3 linked regions of the Pelodiscus sinensis genome follow. The protein of the gene in region 2 interacts with the protein of the main gene of each other region in a pairwise test. Links are inferred from orthologs where the notes say so. Each region holds a gene or a part of one and is shown on either strand. Other genes may lie near its edges. The genes, in order: SNX22, DVL3 and KLHL12.

Region 1 (3,742 bases), on a different chromosome or scaffold from region 2:
GTCTTTTCACACCCGAGCCAGAAAATTGCAGTGCTGTAAAGTGCCAGTGCAGACTTGGCCTCAGGCCGCCTCCCCCCAGCTATTGCCTGAGTCAGGCATCAGCAGTGGCGCTAAAGCCTGGAACAAGCAGGGATTAGCTAAGTACCTAACAGGCCCCACAGAGGCCCAGCTGCTGCCTTGGCTGGGGGGCTTGAAGGGGAGCCGTGCACTAGACTAGCAGGGGGCTGCGGGGTGGGTTTGAGGGGCACCAGGCGAGCAGGGGGGCGCGCTGGGCTGGAGTCCAGAGCAGGGGGGTGCAGCCAGCTGCTGCGGGTGCTGCAGTTGTCCAGCCAGCACAAGGTGCCTGTTTCTGGCTCCCTGGCCCCAGCGCCTCTCGGGGGGCGGGGTGCAGGGACCCCCCCTCAGGGACTCGCTGCTGGAGCCTGCGCGTGTCCCGGCAGTGGGAGCCTTTACCAGAAATAAGAAGTGAAAGCGGAGAGCGGGGATGCTGCTTCTGGCCTTTCCCCGGGGGTCTGCGCCGGCCCAGGCCTCACTTCCCTCTCCCGCAGGGGAAGAGCCCCGAGCTGCGGGCCAGGCTGAGACACTCGGCGGGATGGAGCCGCTTACAGCGCCCAGGCGAGCTGGGAGCGTGGCCCCGGGGCCGTACCCAGCGCAGCCGTGGGCACACACAGCCAGCCCTTGAGCGGTGACACCTGCCAGTGTCCCAGCCCCACTGGGTGTGGGTGTGGGTGTGTTTACACTGTACCTGGGAGGCCTCTGTCCCAGAGTCGTCTGCGCCCTGCACCTGCCGGGGGTTCTCTGCGGATGCAGGTTGCTGGGAGTAGCCCTGACACCCCCCTCCCCCGGGGAAACCCAGCCTGACCCCTAGGGCTGCCAGGTGTCCGGTTTGAACCCCACAGCCCGGTACCGGAGACCTGTCCGGGGTTGTCTAACGCCCACGGGATGCGGATTGGGACGGGATGGCCAGTGTGTCCGGGACTTTCGTCTGGCGCCCCTACTGACCCCCCCCGCGGGCGACTGGGGCCGGGACACCCCTGGCCCGGGCGGGCTTCAGCATGGCCCTGCGCCCCGGCAGCGCCCCGGCAGGACGCCCGCTCCCCCGCCCCGGCGCCAGGCGCTGCGCCGGGGCGGGCGCTGGGGGCGCTGCGGGGCCTGTCCCGGGCGGGGCGGGGCGGCCGGGGCCGGGATGAATGGAGCAGGGGGCGGCCGGGCCGGCCGGCGGCGCGATGATCGCGGTCTCCATCCCCGCCGTGGGGCCGGGGGCCGAGCCCGTGCGGAGCCCCGAGAAGACGCGCACGGTGAGGGGCGGCCCCGCCGGGACACGGGGGGAGGGGGCCCCGCTCAGGAGCAGCCGCCCCCGGCCCGGGGCTTGCTCCGCTGCCCGCCTGGCCTCGGCCCGGGGCCAGGTCTGCCCCCGGGGGGGCAATGCGGGGCAACAGTGCCCCCCCCCCAGGCCAGCCCGCTGGGGGCGGGGCAGGAGCGAGCGGCCCCCTGGGCCAGTCACTCGCCGAAGAGGGGCGGGGGGGCTTTTCGCTGAGTCACTAGCCCCCCCCCCACGCCCGCGGCCGGGGGGTTTCAAACTTTCCCTCCTGCCCCGCTGATGGCGCGGCCCGACGTAACGTGTCTGGGGCGGGGGGCGGGGGGCTGGTGACACACGTGCAGCCCCGGGTCCGGCAGGGAAGGGGTTAAACCCGTCCAGTGACCGCAGGGGAGGGCGGAGGAGCTGGGGAGCCCGGTCCCTGGGGTGGGGTCTGCCTGCCCCCCTGCACAAGGCCCCCGGGGGGGGGGCTATAACTCCGGCCAGCCTGGCTGGGGACTTCAGACCATTTCCTCTCTGCTCCGTTCCCCCTGCTGCGCTGGCCCCTGGGCGCCTGCCTTGCTCAGAGGGGCCGGCTGTGGGGCCGGCTGTGGGGCCAGCCGTGGAACTGGGGCTTCCCAACCTGCTGGCCCAACAGCCCTGCCCTGGCCCCGGCCCACAGTCCCCAGGCAGCTGCTGGGGAAGGCAGGCGACCACGCTCCCCTCTGGCTTGCACGGCCCCGGCCTGCTCTGCTTTGCGTCCCCTGTGGCCCTCAGCAGCAGGCTGAGAGCAGCCGGGGGTTGGATCCAGGGGTCTCGCTAGTGCGGGGGGCAGAGCCAGCCCCATGCCCGTCGTTCCCGCTTCCAAATCCACGGAGCCCACAGGTTCCTGAACACCGGCGTCTTCCCCGCCTGCCTGAGCCACGTGTGCCAGGGCAGGCTGCCCTCCCCGCAGCCCTGATGGGACCGGCGTAGGAGCCAGCCTCGCTGCACGGGCTGGGCCAGCAGCCCCGTCCTGCCCTCCAGCTCCTAGCTGGGCACAGGCAGGTCACCCTGCCCCCGGCCTGCACCTCGCCTGGGAGGCTGGGGATCGGTGAGCTGGTCCCGGTGAGCAGCTTGTGCGTGGGGGTGGTTTCGGTTCCCTCTTCGGAAGAGGAAGGGCCGAGCATCCCCCTTGGGCCTGGCCTGGGAATTGGGGATGTTGGACGCTCCCCTTTCTGGCTGCCCAGGCCTGGGATAAGGCTGTTCCGAGCCAGGTGCCGAGCTGGGATTTGACTTGGGTCACTCAGTAATTCAGTACCAGCCCGGCCAGGGAGGCTGTGACCAGTTCCTGGCTGCCTCGTTGGATTGTCCTCTGCACCAGGCTCTGGTGCGGGGTGCGGGGGCCTGTCTTGCTGCGTTGGGCAGTGGCTAGACTCCAGCCAGAGAGCTGCAGCCCCTGCCAGGGCAGGACCATGGCTGGCCTGGCACCTGTTGTTTTTGTCTGGGCTGCATCCCACACTAGGGGGAGAGAAGCGAGCATGGGGGGGGGAGAGCCTGCAAGCAAACCCAAGCTCACATAAAGGCTGGTGAGCGAATGCTGCAAGGCCATTCCCAGCTCTGCCCTGTGTCGACCCTGTGACTAGTTCCTGTGCTAATCCAGGTTCCCTGCCCTCCGGCGGGAGCTCTCTGCGCTGCTGTGACATGATGCTCGCTCTGGTGCACCGGGGTGTGTGTTTGTGCCGCTGGGGGGGCATATTCCCATGTGAGGCAGCGCAATGAATGGGCATTGGCCCTCCTTGGCTGACCGATGCTGAGCCTGGTGGTCTGGTCCAGCTCCTAGCTACGTCCTGCCCACCCCCAGCCTCCTTGCGGCGTCAGCCGGCGGCTCCGCATGTGCTGCCCGAGGCAGAGCGCGCGCTGTCCGATGTGGGACGGTGGCAGCGTGTGCGCAGGGCGCAGGAGAGGCGATGGAGCCTGTGCTGACCTGTCGGTTGCAGGAGGCCTTTCAGCTGCTGTGCCCAGCAAGAGGGGATTTCTGGAAGGGAGCTGCTGCCCTCCCTGCCCGGTGTGCGGGAGCGGAGCCAGAGCCTGCTCTGAAAGAGCCTTTTGTGGCTCTGTTTGCTCTCCGGACACTGGATTGTGCTTACACAGCTGCAGTGCACCCTGGGAGGGAGAACACAGCGGCTTCCACTGCCAAGCCAGCCCTGCCAGCAGCTGCCCCACCCGAGGGCTGCAAGGGGAAGGGGCTGGGTATGGGAAGGGGGGTGCTCTTATTGCGGATTTCTGCTCTGAGGCTAGGCAGCCCCTCTCATGTCTCTCTGTGGCCTGGCAGGTGTTCACGGTGGAGGTGCTGTTCAATGGCCGGAAACACACCCTTGAGAAGCGGTACAGCGAGTTCCATGCCCTGCACAAAAGGGTGAGGCCGGGTGGGCACGCGGCTGGAGTGGAGGGCAGGGGCTAACT
Region 2 (3,742 bases):
TCAAAAAAGTTTTGCTAGTTCTTTGGAGCTAGAGTATTTTGTCAGCAAAAGTGCCAACAAACAGCATTTACACATAGCGGCTGTTAGCAACAGGGGTGTTGCTAGACAGACCTTTGGTCTGACCCAGTATAGCCGTTCTTTGTTATGTTGGGTGTGTTGACACAATCTTGTCGCTAAAAGTTGTGTAGTGTAGTCATGGGTCTGGGTCTCTCCATATCATTTCTCTAGTATCTGCAGCTCCTCCCTGTTTTGCTTCATCTGCAAATTTCACTAATCTGCCATATGCCTCTTCTTCTGGATCATTAGTGAAGCTATGAAATAAGACCAGACCTAACACGGGTCCCTGCAGCTTCCACCAGACCCCTGGCTACAACCTGAGACATTACTATATATTACAGTACTATACCTTGTTGACAAATGCAGACACTTTTCCACCTCTAAGGAAGTGTTGCAGTCAAAAATTTAAATTCATTTCGAGAGAAATGTTTCAAAGGACCCCAAAGTATTTCTTTACAAACAACACGCACAGAGAATTAATTTCACTCACCGTGGAAATGCAACAGCCATTGAACAGTACCCAACAATGGGATACAGTAGTTTAGGCACAGAATATGTAGTGCAAACAACTACAATTCCAGAGGGAATGATGGCAGGAAAAGGTACTTAACTGGAATTTGGATAAAAGGTAATACCAACTCATTTGAGAAGTGCCAGGAATCTTTCATGATCATGAACAGCCTCTACATTGGTTCTAACTCTAATCTAAATGCTATCATCTCCAGACCTAACACCAGCTTGGGGCATCTAGGTCAAAAGTGACTCAGTGAAGAACATACCCCTTAACACCGTGATGTCCAACATACTAGCCATATGTGCCTATTTGGCCAGTTGAATGTGACTATTTGGCTGGATGAATGTGGCTAGTTCAGAATTGGTTACACACCACAGCCCTAATGACTCCCACACACTGCTTTATGCAGCACTCAGAATTATCTGAAAGTCTCTCATACAAGCAGTAACCAGGCCCATCCCTGTTTAATTTATGAGCTCTAACAAGGTCATGGCCTGAGGCTGTCTTTGGCTAGGAGGAGTATGAAACTACAGGCCACTTGGAACCCCTAGTTGCACCCTCACAAGTTCTAGTGCAAATGGTGAATCCTGTGAGGAAAACAAACGAAGCAAGTCAGGCCCTGCAACTCTGTGCCAAGTAGGTGCTCTACAAGAGAGGAAGAGCAGGGCTCCCTGGACAGAACTGGGATGTCCACCAGAGACTAAAAAAGAGATGCAAGGAGATGACAGAATGGCGTGAAGGGGGTGTTACTGTTCAGTTGGAGAAGAAAGGATCAGGGGCTCCATAGAAAAATTAAGAAAGTTTCTACATGGCTGGTAGTTCCTTAAAGAAATGTAGATTTTGTTGGGGAAGTGTCAGAAAAAGTAGTCTATGGAGCCCCAAAATGAGAGAAGGAAAGGAGGAACAAATCCCCCAACCTTCTAACCCAGATATAAGGTTTGAGGGTCCTAGAATCTCTCGAGAATGGATTTGGACGATGAGAGTCCCATCTGAATGGCTTTTTAAGAAGCACTGATGACTTCCGTCATTAAAAGAGTTCAAATGCTCCCTTAAATAAGCGCACACAATGGAGATGGAACAGGCATTCCCACCCCAGTACAGGACTGAGGAGAAACTGGAGACGGGTGTTCCAGCCACATACACCCCAGAAACGGGATACAGGCAAGGTGGGAAGGGGTGTTGTCCAACCACCAACCTGGGGATGGAGGTAGGGAGCACTGTTCCCTCTAATTTTTTTCCATCTATGAGCAGAATAAATGTTGTTAGGGGCACTGAGGCATGTGCAGATGTGCCCCACCAGTAGACACATGCGGTGCTATCGGCTGCCAGCGGTGGGTGTGCTGCTAACCAGCAGTGGCATCGGAGTCTCCCCTGGGCAGCTGCCCAAGCACCCAGATTACAGGGAACACTGCTGGGGAGTGTCATCCCCAAACAGCCACCTCCAAGCACAACCTGGGGGGGTGGCCTGGGGGGGAACTGAGGGGGTGCTTGCCCCCCCCAGCACACGCCAGGGATGGGATTAGGCGGCTGGGGGGGGTGCCCAAGCACACCCCAAGGGGGGTATTGGGGGCTGTGGGAGAACACTCCGGGGCAGTTCGGGGCGGGCGGGGGCAGGCACACCCTGAGGATGAGGGGGAAGGGGCCGAGCCCACGCCGGGATGGGCCGGGGGGGGGCCGGGCACCCCCGGGGCGGGAGGGGCCCCGCTCACCCGAAGTCATCGTCCATAGACTTGAAGTAGAACTTGTAGTTGGGCCGGTTGAGGAGGCCCTTGAAGTCGCCCAGGGTGACCCGCTCGGCCGGGATCGGCAGCTTCACCAGGTAGGGCGTCTCCTGCTCGTCCAGGTGGTAGATGATCTTCGTCTCGGCCGCCGCCATGGCGCCCGCGCGGGCCCGACCCGACCCGACCCGGCCCGGCCTCTGGCGGCGCCCCCCGGCCCTTGTTCTCCGGGTCCCAGCGCCGCCCGGCTCACGGCGCAAGCTCCGGCTCCGCCCCGCCGGCCGCGGCCCCGGGGGCTTCGCTGGGCAGCGAGCGCGGCGCGGCCCGGCCTAGCCCCTCACGGCGGCGCGGCTGTAGACACGGAGCCCCCCCAACTCCCCCGCCTCCACAGACCTTCCCCGGCTCTCCACAGCCCCCCCACAGAGCCTGCCTGTAACCCCCAGCCCCCCCACCTCCCTACAGCCCCCCCCACACAGAGCCTCCCTATAACCCCCCGCCCCCCCACAGAGCCTCCCTGTAACCCCCCCGCCCCCCCACAGAGCCTCCCTGTAACCCCCAGCCCCCCCACCTCCCTACAGCCCCCCCCACACAGAGCTTGCCTGTAACCCCCCGCCCCCCCACAGAGCCTCCCTGTAACCCCCCCGCCCCCCCACAGAGCCTCCCTGTAACCCCCAGCCCCCCACCTCCCTACAGCCCCCCCCACACAGAGCTTGCCTGTAACCCCCCGCCCCCCCACAGAGCCTCCCTGTAACCCCCCCGCCCCCCCACAGAGCCTCCCTGTAACCCCCCAGCCCCCCACCTCCCTACAGCCCCCCCACAGAGCCTCCCTGTAACCCCCCCGCCCCCCCACACAGAGCCTCCCTGTAACCCCCAGCCCCCCCACCTCCCTACAGCCCCCCCACAGAGCCTCCCTGTAACCTCCCCGCCCCCCCACAGAGTCTCCCTGTAACCCCCCAGCCCCCCACCTCCCTAGAGCCCCCCCCACAGAGCCTCCCTGTAACCCCCCAGCCCCCCCACAGAGCCTCCCTGTAACCCCCCCAGCCTCCCCCACCTCCCTACAGCCCCCCCACACAGAGCCTCCCTGTAACCCCCCCAGCCCCCCCCACAGCCTCCCTGTAACCCCCCAGCCCCCCCCACAGAGCCTCCCTGTAACCCCCCAGAGCCTCCCTGTACCCCCCAGCCCCCCCCAGAGCCTCCCTGTAACCCCCCAGCCCCCCCACAGAGCCTCCCTGTAACCCCCAGTCCCCCCCACAGAGCCTCCCTGTAACCCCCCAGCCCCCCCCACACAGAGCCTCCCTGTAACCCCCCCAGTCCCCCCCACAGAGCCTCCCTGTAACCCCCCCAGTCCCCCCCACAGAGCCTCCCTGTAACCCCCCAGCCCCCCCACCTCCCTACAGCCCCCCCCACAGAGCCTCCCTGTAACCCCCCAGCCCCCACACAGAGCCTCCCTGTA
Region 3 (3,742 bases), on a different chromosome or scaffold from region 2:
TTTTTTAATTGTATCCTTTGGAATATATAGTTGTGACTATTTTCTTCCACTATTTGATCTGAGGAAGTGGGTCTGGCCCACGAAAGCTCATCATCTAATAAACCATCTTGTTAGTCTTTAAAGTGCTACATAGTCCTGTATTTTGTTTCAGCTACACCAGACTAACATGGCTACATTTCTATCACGATTTTGAAAGTAAAACCGCAGTCTATACCAAGGAGTACAGGATCTTTCGAAAAAGCCTGCCGTTTTTGAAAGAACTGCAACTAGACTGTTTTACTTTCGAACAAGCGCCATTTCGGAAGAGTGCCATGACACAATTATGCAAATGAAGCACAGGATATTTAAATCCCTGCTTCATTTGCAATTTCACAGTGTCTAATTAACATCCTTCTGTCGAAAGAGGGATGTAGTAGACACAGCCTTTGTGTAAGAAGAGGCATTAGAAATGTAACTTTTACAACCCCAGTTCCATGATCCATAGAATCATAGAGCTGGAAGAGACCTCAGTAGGTCATCAAGTCCAGCGCCCCGCCCAAGGCAGGACCAACCCCTTTCTGCCTCCCCTCATTTTTTTCTATTTACCACTGCATTAAGTTTGAAGCAAAGCACAGAAAACGACTGCTAGTTAACAATCTGAACCAAACAGTGAATTGCAGCACAGCCAAACATTATCTCCTTTCAACATTTTGCAAAAGGATGTGCAATTAGTGTAAATCACTAGCAAGTAGTCAGAAGAAGAGCCTGGTTCATGGACAGGGCACTAGCCCTGGAGCTCAATGCTCTGTTCTATTCCTGGTTCTGCCACGGACCAGCTGGACAACTTTGAGCCAAGTCCACTCTCCCCTCCCCACATTTCTCAGTCTTCACTGTGACAGGCTGCAAGCTATTAAGGGCTAGAATGGCCTCTGGTGGTTAGCGATGTAAAAGTTCAACAGTTACAATTATATATTTTAACCCATTGACTTTTTAAATAGCTATTTACTGCCAGTAGGGATGTACTCAGGACAAGGGGGTCTAAGCACTCCTGTAGTATTGAACTGGCAGACAAAGGCTTGTTGGATGCCACCAGGAGCATAGGGGATGCTCTACCAGCCAGGTGTGAAAGGAATGCACAGAATAAAAGCACTTTCCCCTCACTCCCGTCCAGGGAACAGGATGAAAAGCAAGCCATGTCCCATAGGGTTGCCAGATTGTTTCAACAAAAATACCAGACACACTTGACATTCCATCACAATCTACATTACACCTGATTTAGAAAATACCAGATATTTCTATTTTCTCAATTTGTTTCCCGAACAGAAAGCTCAAATACTGGACTCTCCGGTTCAAAACCGGACACCTGGCAACCCTAGTCCCAGAGCGCATGGCAGCTGCTACCCCCCATGTGCCCGAAATGCGCCCTTGCCCAATACCATGTCAATGTGGCTGAGATGAGCCCCCTCCAGGACCGCACAAGAGTGTTCTACTGGATGTACAAGTGGCTCTCGAGAGCCTACCTCGCTGGTGAACATGGCACAGAAGTAGTCGCTGCAGGCTGCCAGCACAATGCGGTGTGCGGCAAAGTCTTTCTGTTCAACACGCAGCGTCACGTCACAGAGCGTACTGCTCCTCCGCAGGGCGTTCATGGCGTTCAGGATGGACTTGGCGTGCGAGTTGGTCATGATGTCCTTGGGGGCCATGGCGGCCCTGTTCTCCCAGCACGGGATGGGGCAGGGGGACAGTCTCTGATCCCAGGCCCTGCTCCTCCAGAAGCGTGGGGGGGGGGGGGGAGGGTGTCACTGTGGCCACGGGCCCCGCTCCCCCGGCACGGGGGGGGGGGGGGGTCACTGAGGCCCCGGGCCCCGCTCCCCCGGCACGGGGGGGGTCACTGAGGCCCCGGGCCCCGCTCCCCCGGCACGGGGGGGGGGTCACTGAGGCCCCGCTCCCCCGGCACGGGGGGGTCACTGAGGCCCCGCTCCCCCGGCACGGGGGGGTCACTGAGGCCCCGGGCCCCGCTCCCCCGGCACGGGGGGGTCACTGAGGCCCCGCTCCCCCGGCACGGGGGGGGTCACTGAGGCCCCGGGCCCCGCTCCCCCGGCACGGGGGGGTCACTGAGGCCCCGCTCCCCCGGCACGGGGGGGTCACTGAGGCCCCGCTCCCCCGGCACGGGGGGGGGTCACTGAGGCCCCGCTCCCCCGGCACGGGGGGGGTCACTGAGGCCCCTGGCCCCGCTCGGGGGGGGGGGTCACCGCGGGTGGCGGGACACGGGCCGGGATCTGGTGGCAGGTGAGCGAGGCCCCGAGACCAGGGAAGGGGCGGGGCTAGAACGCACCACGTGGGCAGCTGCCAGCTCTGCGCACGCGCCCAGCCGTGGGGAGGCCTAGGGCTCAAAGGGCGCAGGAAAAGCACTTTTAACTCACGCATCCAATCACATCGGCCGGGGGGTACCAGCGACCAATCGCGGGGAAGGTCATCACAGCAGCCTGTCGCCCGCCCCCAGCGGAAATGCTTGTGCCCTGAATCACGTGGGACACAGCGGCGGTGCTGCCTTTGGCGGAAGTGGCGTCACACCCGAGGCTGTTTCCGGTGTTGCCAGCCGGAGCCGCCGCTGCTGCTGCCCGGGATGTAGGGCCGGTGAGTGCGGGCGGGAAGGGGCAGGCGCGCGGCGCGGCTGCGGGCGGGGGGCCGGGTCCCCTCCCGGCGGGCTCGCTGGTGCTGCGGGCCCGGGGCCCGCCTAGGCGGCCCGCCGCGGGCAGAGTCAAGGCGGCCAAGGTGATGCCGGGGCAGCTGCTGCGGAGCCCGCCGGCCTGGCGCTGGGCTCCGTTCCCAGCGGCGCCTCGGCTCCCGCGGCTCTGGCCAGAGCGCGCCGGGGGCCCCGCGGCCCGACCCCCGCTCAGCGCCCCTACGGCGGCCAGACATTGACAATACAGGGCACGAAAACAGCCGGAATCGCTCCGTCCGATTGTCCCTCTTGCCCAATATCCCGCCTGCGGATGATGACTAATGCAAGGTGCTTCCGAGGGTGTGAACGGCGCCGGCAATGATCAAGTGAGCGATCCCTGCTGGTCCACACCCAACATCTGGGAAACCGGCTAGTGCAGGGGTGTCCAAACTTTTTTCAACGAGGGCCAGATTTGATGAAGTGAACATGCGTGAGGGCCGACCATTTTGCCTGACATTCTTTGAACCATTAAAATTAAATGCAAATTAACTATTTTACGCAAAGTTTATTGCAAACGACATACTTTTCATTTCGTCACATGGATGACAAATCTAAACAGGTGTTAAATCACTCTGCCTTTCATATCTGAAGGCCAGATGAAAAAAAAATCCAGGAAGCTGAAATATATGTCAGGAACATTGTAAAGTACATTACATATTATTGGTAATAAAGGTTGTCTGTCAACTTTTAAGTTCAAAAAATATGAACAGGAACATAACACCAAGTATACATGTTGTGTCCAAATATATTTTTAACTGATTTAGACCAACGGACATTAACTGAGATTTTACAATGTATTCATCTCAATTGGAAAAAAAACTTGCCTGCACTAATGTGAAGGGTGAAACTGAGATCTGGACTGCAGCACATAGGCTAGGTCTGGTTCAAAGGCAGTGGTTTTGATGCGCAAAATGTCACGCAGGTGAGAGTCACTCAGTCTTGTCCTCACGCGGTTCTTGTTAAACTTCATAGCAGAGAATGTCTTCTCACACATATGTTGAGCCAAACAAGCTCAGCATTTTCTTAGCCAATGTTCGA

The links.
Region 1: the proteins of DVL3 (region 2) and SNX22 interact in binary tests that used the Homo sapiens proteins (3 or more experiments, as listed by UniProt). The two-hybrid records come from large-scale screens. The link is inferred for Pelodiscus sinensis from reciprocal best matches to the Homo sapiens genes DVL3 and SNX22.
Region 3: the proteins of DVL3 (region 2) and KLHL12 interact in binary tests that used the Homo sapiens proteins (3 or more experiments, as listed by UniProt). The two-hybrid records come from large-scale screens. The link is inferred for Pelodiscus sinensis from reciprocal best matches to the Homo sapiens genes DVL3 and KLHL12.

Annotation. Positions count from the first base shown.
Region 1 is NC_134724.1:36,774,335-36,778,076, reverse strand, and holds the start of SNX22 (sorting nexin-22), read left to right. Parts: upstream 1-1,145; 5' UTR 1,146-1,190; coding exon 1,191-1,298; intron 1,299-3,611; coding exon 3,612-3,695; intron 3,696-3,742. UniProt on the Homo sapiens protein: May be involved in several stages of intracellular trafficking. Interacts with membranes containing phosphatidylinositol 3-phosphate (PtdIns(3P)).
Region 2 is NC_134720.1:49,009,307-49,013,048, forward strand, and holds the start of DVL3 (segment polarity protein dishevelled homolog DVL-3), read right to left. Parts: upstream 2,626-3,742; 5' UTR 2,448-2,625; coding exon 2,281-2,447; intron 1-2,280. UniProt on the Homo sapiens protein: Involved in the signal transduction pathway mediated by multiple Wnt genes.
Region 3 is NC_134737.1:16,710,745-16,714,486, forward strand, and holds the start of KLHL12 (kelch-like protein 12), read right to left. Parts: upstream 2,322-3,742; 5' UTR 1,683-2,321; coding exon 1,500-1,682; intron 1-1,499. UniProt on the Homo sapiens protein: Substrate-specific adapter of a BCR (BTB-CUL3-RBX1) E3 ubiquitin ligase complex that acts as a negative regulator of Wnt signaling pathway and ER-Golgi transport.